Oryctolagus cuniculus: one gene and its partner. The protein of the gene in region 1 interacts with the protein of each later gene in a pairwise test. Links are inferred from orthologs where the notes say so. Each region holds a gene or a part of one and is shown in the gene's direction. Other genes may lie near its edges. The genes, in order: ZMYND19 and TOX4.

Region 1 (4,492 bases):
GGGTATGGATTGGGAGGAAGCCGGAGCTGGGCGTGGCACCCGGGCACCCTGAGCACAGGCACTGCGCTGTGGGCTGCTGGCGTTGCAAGCGGCTCATGCTCACGCGCCGTGTGCCTCTCCTGTCTCTCACTGCAGCATGAGCAGGGGACCTAGTCTGTCTCGTCCTCTGGTGGACAGCAGTGCTCACGGGTGGTGGGTCTGACTGGCGTGGGCTGCCAGGAGCCCTCCCCCCACAGCCTGTAAATACGCTGTTTCTTTGCCAAATACTCCTGTTACCAACTAATGACCTTAAAACAGGGAGGCTGTCTAGGAGCTTCCTGGCAGAGCCCATCTAGTCACAGGATTCCCTAAAAACACAGAACGGGAGAAACGGGGCGAAACTGTGGGACGTATGAAGAGGACCCTGCTAGGAAGGGGTGGGGGCCCGGCCGACGAGGACGCCCTGCAGAAGCCGAGAATGGCCCCTGCTGGTGGCTGGCAACGGGCCCTCACACAACCACGTGGGACTGAGTTTTGCCAGCACCGTGATGACTCCCCCCCATCCTCGACTGCTCTTGAGACTTGGAGAAAAGAAACCACCCAAGTTCACCACACCTCACCAAGAGCTGCACTGTCTCATGCCACTGTATCTGTGGCGGCTTCCTAGGAAGGCTCACTCTCGCAGGTAACTCCCCAGGCCATGCAGAGGCGGCGGCTTGGCACACAGGGAGACCCTCCCCGGGGCCGCTGCCGGGCTGGGGCGGAGGAACGACCCTTCGCCCTCCCTGGATGCTGACTGCGCACCTGGGCGGAAAGGACGGGCGACCCACGCACACCCCGCGCCACCGGGCCGCCTGCAGCGCCTGGTCCGGCAGAGCCACACATAGACGATGCGGGCAGAGATCCCCACATTGCCCCCCTGCAAGGCTGGACTGGTGGCCCTGCCTCCCAGCCTCTCGCCCCTGGCAGGTTGAGGCACAGGGACCCAGATGTCACGAGGTTTTCTGAGAAAACAGCCTGCAAAGCAGAGCCCGGCACACGGGAAAGGGGGCTCCGCGGGGTGGCCTCTGCAGACCCCTCAATGCCCGGGGTCCCCGCCGGCTCCTCAGCCGGACACGCGCCGCCGTGGCCGCCCAGCTCGACCCCGCCCCGAGAGGCCGAGGCTTTCCGGAGGACACGCCGCGGGCGGCCCCGGCCGCGCCGTTCCAGCCGCCCCTCACCACTGGGGCCGCGCCCCATCTGAGTCCGGGAGCCGCGACCCGGGCCTCCCCGCGGGGCCGCGGGGCGGTCCAGGCCCGGGTGGCCGGCACCTTCGGGCTCCGGGGGGCTGGGCGCGGAGGCCTCCTCAGGCTGGTTCCTCAGAGGCTCGCAGCAGGTCGCCCGGCCGGGGGAGACGACGGCGAAGCGGACCCACGTGGACGCCACACAGCGGGGACCGCCCGGGCGAGGCGTAGCTGCCCGCACAAAGCTTCCCGCGAAACTGACGTCGGAGCCGGGCCCGCCGCGCAGGCGCCGCCCCCGGCCGCACCCCTCCCCCGCGCTCGCCCCGCTCCCCAGCGCGCCGGCGCACTCTCCTCTCCCCCATTGGTCGCTGCGCGGCGGCGCGCGCCAGCCGGCGCACGGCGCGCCTCGCGATTGGCTGGGCAGCGGCGGGCCGGGGGGTGTGTCCCGCGCCGCGCCCCGCCCCTCGGCTCGGCTCGCGGTGGTGCGCGCGGCGGCGACGGCGGCGGCGGCGGCGCGTGGCAGGTCCGGCGGGCGCGAGGTGGCGGCGACGGCGGCGGCGGCCCGAGCCCGGCCCAGCCTCGTCCCGCCCGGAGCCCGCCCGGCCCCGGCCCCGACCCCGGCCCGCCCGGGCGCGCCGTGGCCTCGCCTCGGCCCGGTGTCTCCCGAGGGAGCGGCGCTGCCGGCCGAGAGCGCAGGCCCGGCCATGACCGACTTCAAATTGGGCATCGTGCGGCTCGGCCGGGTGGCCGGGAAGGTGAGCGGCGCGGAGCCCGCGGCTGGGCCCGGCCCGCCCGCCCTGGCCTCTGCGCGGGGCCCGGGGCGGGGGCGGTTGTGCGGGCTGCGGCCAGGGCGGGGGCGCCGGCCCCGGAGGGGCGCCGGCGGGGCGGGGGCGCTGCGCGGGCCCGGCTGCGGGGCCTCGCTCCGGTGCAGGCCGCCTCTTGAAGTCGGTGGGGCGCGCCCCTTGCCGCCTTCGCCGGGGCCCGGTCTAGGACCAGGGCCGGAGATGCGCGCCCGTGCCCGGGCCGCGTTCGTCTGGCGCTCTCCCATGTGGGGCTTCCGAACTGGGCCCAGCCCGGCGCCAGGGCTGCACCTGCGGCCGCGCGGTTTGAACACGGCGCCCCTTCCAGGGCAGCGCCACCTCAGTCCTTCTTGCTAGGGGGTCTGATGGGGGCCTCTGAGCTTGCACTGAGCGTGGGCTTCCCCAGCGCAGGACAAGGAAGCCGGAACCCCGGTGTTGGTGAACTCGAGGGCTCCCTCGACTTCTCTCCCCTAGCCCGGCCTCCGCCCTCCACAGGCTGCAGGCGAGGCCTCTGGCACCAGTGGGCCTGGAGGCTTGGCTGTTTCCGCCTTGCAGCAGCCTGGGCCTTACCCTGATGGAAGCCTGGTCCCTATATCCAGGGACTGAGAGGCAGTCTGCATTCAAGTGAAGGTAAAACAGCTCCGATCCTAGGAGAGATCTCGCAGGAGTGAGGCTGGTGTTGTTGGGGGTGTCCCGGGCTCTCCCCTGGAGCTCTGGCCCTCTCCAGGCTGCATTAACGTCCCCAAATCTTTCATCCGGAACATTCCAGGCAGACTGAACTGGAAAAGGGTGATTGGGCGAGCACCTGTGCACCCCTTGCCCAGCTTAACAGACAAATTGAAACCTGGTGTGTACTCTGCCCCTGCTCCAGGGCAGCCCACTAGGTCTGGCCAGCTTTATCGGGGGCGGTCTTGTGTGGGAGGCCTTTGAAGCCAGGTGCCTCCTCCTGTGGCTTTGCTGTGTCTGCCGCACACGCAGTGCTGCAGAGCCAGGCCCCCTGGCTGTAATGAGGCGCAGACCCCAAGTGTAACGCTCTGTAATGTGGTTGATTTGCAGACCAAGTACACGCTGATAGATGAGCAAGACATCCCACTGGTGGAGAGCTACTCCTTCGAGGTAAGGGCGCAGATGGGGTGTTCCCGGGAGGGCCGAGCGGAGTGCAGGTGCTTGGGTCCAAGAGGCCCGGCACGTGGATGTCTGGTGCCAGCCGGTGGAGTCTCCGTGGCCTTTCTGACGCTGGCCTTGGCCGACCTGCACCCTCCCTGGTCGCTGGCTGCTGTTAAATCAACTTTTGTCCTGTTGCTGACAGGTGTCCCTAGTGCAGCTTACCCAGTCCTCTCCACGGTCCCAGGTGCTCTGTAAGGAACTTGCCTCCGACCTCTGCGAGTGGTCCCTGGTGCTCTGGCCACAGGGCCCCACAGTTCTGCAGGAGCTCCTTCTCCAGGGTGTCCCTTTCTCACGGGATCGTGGGGGGTTTTTATTGGTGGGAAATTGTCTCTGCGCCCATAGAACTTCACAAATAATTGCTTATGAGTGAGGGTTTTTTTTAAGGTTATTTAAAATTTATTTGAAAGGCAGCATTAGAAAGGGAGAGACAGAGACAGATCCTCCATCCTCTGGGCCAGGCTGAAGCCAGGAGCTTCTTGTGGGTCTCCCACGTGGGTGCAGGGACCCAAGCACTTGGGCCATCTTCTGCTACTTCCCCAGGCCATTAGCAGGGAGCTGGATCAGAAGTAGACCAGCCAGGACTAGAATCTGCGCTTCTATGGGATACTGGCCCCACAGGTGGTGGTTGAACTTGCCACGCACAGTGCCGGCCGCTAGTGTGAGCGTTTCTTGTGTGAGTGAAAGGTGGAGTGGTTGAGGGGGCATAGCTGGCCTCTGCATCCACAGACACCCAGGTCCCAGAAACGGGCTGGGCCCTGTCTTCCGGCTTTTTTGTTTCATTCGATTATTCTAAGAGGGATCTGGAAATTGGAGGATTTTACCAATCCTTTCCTTGTTCTTTTCAGGCCCGCATGGAAGTAGATGCAGACGGAAATGGTGCTAAGATATTCGCATACGCCTTTGACAAGAACCGAGGCAGGGGATCGGGCAGGCTCCTTCACGAGCTGCTGTGGTGGGTGTTCTCGCGCTGTGCTGGTCTCCCCCTCGGCCCTGTGTGACCCTCACCTTCCCCGAGTCAGTGGCCCGTTGTCTGTGCCTGGTGCCTCCTGTGGTACAGGAATGTGGACGACTGCCTTCCGCTTTGCCCAGCACTCCGTCCACAGACAAAGCGCCTCACGCCCCAGGACAGGCTCTGCGGGGGGGGGGGGGGGGGGTCCTGCGCTCTGCCCCGGCTCTCCTGGGGCGCCTCGGCGGGGTGTGAAGGGGCAGCTCACTGGGGAAGTTAACTGCCGCCTCGGTGTGCATGATGGGATGCTGGTGTCTGGGACCTCTCGCTGAGGAACTGTTTGTAGGCTGTCTGGGTCTGGTTCGGGGTATCGTTCT
Region 2 (4,449 bases), on another chromosome or scaffold:
AAAGTGCCTTCAGACCATAACTTGCCACAAACTGCCTTTTATTTCTTTTTAGAGAGTGATCGCCCATCCACTGGTTCACTCCCAAAATGGCATTAACAGCCAAAGCTGGGCCAGGCTGAACCAGGAGCCTAGAACCCCGTCCGGGTCTCCAGAGAAAGTGGCAGGGGCATAAGTACATGGGCCATCCTGCGGGGCTTTCCCAGGCCCATTAGCAGGGAGCTGGATCGGAAGTAAAGCAGCTGGGACGTAAACCATTGCCCCTATGGGAAGCCAGCGTCACAGGTGGCGGCTTAGCCCACTGCGCAACAACGCCCATCATCTGCCTTTTAATTGTTAGGCTGGGATGGCTCTTCGCTTCGCTTGGTCCTCTCCACCACACACACACACACACACACACAATCCAAGTACTGGTGTTGACTCTGAAACACACAGTATGAGGCTGGCACTCATATATCGCAAATCTGAGATGCGCTTTTGAATAACGCTGCTCGGCTTCCGCTGGATTTCCCATAAACATTTACACCCTATGGGAATCGGTCCGTACCTCGCACATCTCTGGACTTCCCTTCACAATTATTTATTCCTCTTTACACCACTCTTCACTGAACCTAACTTCGCACTAGTTTTAAGCGGTGAGAGGCAACTTTTGACTTGAGGACACGGAAGACAGCTGAGCTTTCCACCTGGGCAGTTCAGCGAGCCAAGGCTTTATGATCGGTTCTGGAACAAACAGCTGCACTTACCTATTGTGAGGTCGTGGACTGGCTGGAACCGCTTGTCTGTAAACTGCAGGAGGAGACATGACTTCCCCACACCTGAAAGGGGAGGACGTGCGTGCCAGGAGCCCCGCGGCCCAGAAACACCTCCCGGAGTCCGGGCGTCAGGGACGCGGGAAGGGGCGCCCCGAGCCCGAGCCCCGCCCCCGGCCGCCCCGCCCCGCCCCCGCCCGTTCCTCGCGAATCGCCCAACCCACTGAGCGAGCCCCGCCCCCGCGGCCCGATTTGGGAGCTTCGGGTGCCCGCCTCAGCCTTCGAAGGCGGCCCGCTCGCGGATTACCTGTGTCCCCGATGATGATGTACTTGAAGAGATAAGCATAAGTCATGGTCCCGATTCCTCCGGATTCCGGGTCCGCCCGACTTCTACATCCACTTGCCTCCGACCTCTCTAGCCACTCAGTCTAGCGATCTCCTTGTTTTTCCCTCTCCGGCCCCTCTAGCCAGATCACGTCTCTACTGCTCTCCCCAGAAATCCACAGCCGGACCGATGCAGTCAACGCCGCCTCCAGGGACGCCTCTAGCACCTCTACATGCCATTATCCCACCACGCTCCAGGGGGCGATATCTACCTTTTCCATCTGCTCGGCGCCTGACTCGCAGCCCCACGACGCTCCTTCCAGTCAGCGGAGAGCGACGCACTTCCTTGCGGAAGTGACGGCAGTTCCGAGGCCAGTGGGGGCGGTGGGAGCAATGAGGGGTCTGAGACGGTGGTAGAAAAGTGGTGTGAAGATGGAGGTAGGAGCCCGGGCGCTAAGAAGGCTTGGCGAGAGAGCGCCGCCGATCGGGTTGCAGCAGAGGCGGGAAGGGAGAGGCGGCTGACGGGAGAGGAGAGACAGCCGGGATTGGGGAGTGCTGTCAGAATGTCGGGATCGGAATCCGGGGCTCCAAGCGAAGTCCGTGCTCCCCCTAACTTATCACCGCGGCTTTCTTTTGGTTTCCAGTTTCCCGGAGGAAATGACAATTACCTGACGATCACAGGACCCTCGCACCCCTTCCTGTCAGGCGCCGAGGTGAGCAAGAGCCGCCGACGCTGCGGGAGGGGTGGGCCTGCGGCGGTGGGGCGGTGGGGAAGGGCGTGCGGACGCTGGGAGACCCCGGCTGGGACCCGGGGGGCGCGGTTGGTGTTCGGGGGGAAGTGGCAGCTGCTTCTAGAGCCTATCAGGACTGCCCGGGGAAGTCCTGGGGAAGCTGCTGTCACCAGAAAACCAGGGCGCTGGAAAGCGAGAACCGGCTTAAGGAGGAGAGTGAGTCCGGGTGGGGAGATGGGGGGGGGCTGTCTCCTTTTTGTGGGAGAAATACCCACGACGATCCTGGGGGATCACAATGGGAAGCAGAATTTTCAGCAGCTAACGAAGTCGGGTGAGGGGAGAAGCTCACCTAGCAGGGACTTAGCCAGGGGCCTGTGTTCACGAGCTGTGCTGAAGGGTGCGGTGGCGTTTTTGTTATTTAACTTTTCTACTGTGATAAAAAGTTAGTTACTTTTACCAACAAGGTATCAGCTTGCTTTGCTAGAGAACTTGTGCGTGCACGCGCGCGCGCCCCTGAGGACATTGTGCATTACTTCACCTGGGTATGTCACAGTTTCCTCAGCTGTCCCATAGCTGTAATAATAGTTTCTTATGATGTTGTAAAGTAAAAGTAATGCTTCTGGTGAGGTCCTAAAGGGTTGGTGAAAACGTTTGGGTTGAAATATTGCCATACTGTAGATATGTATCAGTTGCTTAGGCCAGACCAAAAAAAAAAAAGGGTCGGGGGCGAGAACGAAAAAAAACTTCCCAGACTTTGAGGGGGAACTATGAAGCAAACCTTCTACCATCTTTTGAAGTTCTTAATTTTTTAATTTTTTTTTCAAAAGTGGTGTAGACTTTTTTTTTTTTTTTGCTACTAAGAATTCTCAGTTGTTAAATGACTTTATCCTATAATAAATCCTGATATTTTCATGGATAAAAATTAGATTGGCCAGAGACAGTTGCTGACTCTTTAATTTCTTTGTTACTATTTTTACTATGCCAGGGGGACATGTAAATCAAATGTGCAATAGATATAAGAATGACAGAGTACTATCTGGTGCCTTTAAAGTTTTGGTACAAGTTTCCCATAAATGAGGGTCTCCTTGGTTTAATTTCATTATTTGGAGTCTTGTAAATCTCACATTAGCCTCAACTATATGAGTGTATTATTGCCAATCTCTTCTCAATCAGGTCTCCACAGTTTAAATTTGTTGTAAAGGTCACATTAGCTTCATTCATGAGAAAGCAGATGGTAAAATTAAATACAAATAGTTTTTTCTTTTTTAAAGATTTATTTATCTTTATTTGAAAGTCAGAGTTACAGAGAGAGGAGAGGCACAGAGACAGGTCTTCCATCCAATGGTTCATTCCCCAGATGGCCGCAATGGCCAGAGATGCACCGATCTGAAGCCAGGAGCCAAGAACTTCTGGGTCTCCCACACGGGTGGAGGAGCCCAAGGACTTGGGCCATCTTCTACTGCTTCCCCAGGCCATAGCAGAGAGCTGGATTGGAAGAAGAGCAGCTGGGACTAGAACCGGCACCCATATGGGATGCCTGTGCCTCAGGCCAGGGTGTTAAATGTATTGATTGTGCTTTATCCTTTAATCCTTTTATGAAGTTGAGCAAGCAGGAGGTAACTTCCTAAAGATGACTTTTTTTTTTTTTTTTAAAGATTTATTTATTTATTTGAAAGGCAGAGTTAGAGAGAAAAGGAGAGACAGAAGTCTTCTATTTGCTGGTTCACTCCCCAAATGGCTGCAATGGCCAGGGCTGGGCCAAGCCAGAGCCAGGAGCCAAGAGCTTCTTCCAGGTCTCCCACGTGGGTACAGGGGCCCAAGCACTTGGGCCATTTTCCACTGCCTTCCTAGGCACAAGAGCAGGGAGCTGGATTGGAAGCAGAGCACTGGAACTCAAACTGGGTACCCATATGAGATGCTGGCACTGCAGGCTTCAGCTTTACCTGCTACGCCACAGCATTGGTCCCTATCAAGAAACTTTACAGGATGGAGCCATGTCCAAGTGTTTTGGGGCTGGCACTTTGGCACAGCGGGTTAACACCCTGACCTGCAGCGCCAGCATCCCATATGGGTGCCAGTTCTAGTCCCGGCTGCTGTGGCCTGGGAAAGCAGTAAAAGATGGCCCAAGTCCTTGGGCCCCTGCACCCATGTGGGAGACCTGGAAGAAGCTCCTGGATCCTGGCTTCAGATTGGTAGAGCTCCGCCCGTTGCGGCCATCTGGGGAGTGAACCATCGGATGGAAGACCTCTCTCTCTCTCTGCCTCTGCCTCTCCTCTCCTCTCTCTGTGTAACTCTGACTTTCAAATAAATAATCTTTTTTAAAAAAGAAATTAAGTGTTTTTTTCTTCTTAAGAAGCTTATAGCTAAGTTTTAGTCTCAATTTAGCTAACTTAGCTAACTTACCATAGGCTTTCTATCATTGTTAACAGTTCTGCTTTTTCTCTTTATAACTTTACACTTTCCCTTCCCATCTTTGGCAGTGTTGTTTGGTTTTTAACCTTTAATTAGTGTGTGGTTTTTGTTGTACCCAGGTGTTTTGTTTTGTTTTGTTTTTGTTTTTAAGATTTATTTATTTATTTGCAAGGCACAGTTCCAGAGAGAGATAGAAAGACACAGAGAGATCTTCCATCCACTGGTTCATTCCC

What was found.
Region 2: the proteins of ZMYND19 (region 1) and TOX4 interact in binary tests that used the Homo sapiens proteins (3 or more experiments, as listed by UniProt). The two-hybrid records come from large-scale screens. The link is inferred for Oryctolagus cuniculus from reciprocal best matches to the Homo sapiens genes ZMYND19 and TOX4.

What each region holds. Positions count from the first base shown.
Region 1 is NC_091432.1:237,722,165-237,726,656, reverse strand, and holds the start of ZMYND19 (zinc finger MYND domain-containing protein 19), read left to right. Parts: upstream 1-1,688; 5' UTR 1,689-1,906; coding exon 1,907-1,957; intron 1,958-2,284; exon of another isoform or gene 2,285-2,632; intron 2,633-3,058; coding exon 3,059-3,118; intron 3,119-4,014; coding exon 4,015-4,121; intron 4,122-4,492. UniProt on the Homo sapiens protein: May be involved as a regulatory molecule in GPR24/MCH-R1 signaling.
Region 2 is NC_091443.1:53,459,962-53,464,410, reverse strand, and holds the start of TOX4 (TOX high mobility group box family member 4), read left to right. Parts: upstream 1-1,379; 5' UTR 1,380-1,505; coding exon 1,506-1,511; intron 1,512-1,717; coding exon 1,718-1,786; intron 1,787-4,449. Other genes in the region: RAB2B (ras-related protein Rab-2B), read right to left, coding at 744-815, 1,057-1,102. UniProt on the Homo sapiens protein: Transcription factor that modulates cell fate reprogramming from the somatic state to the pluripotent and neuronal fate. In liver, controls the expression of hormone-regulated gluconeogenic genes such as G6PC1 and PCK1.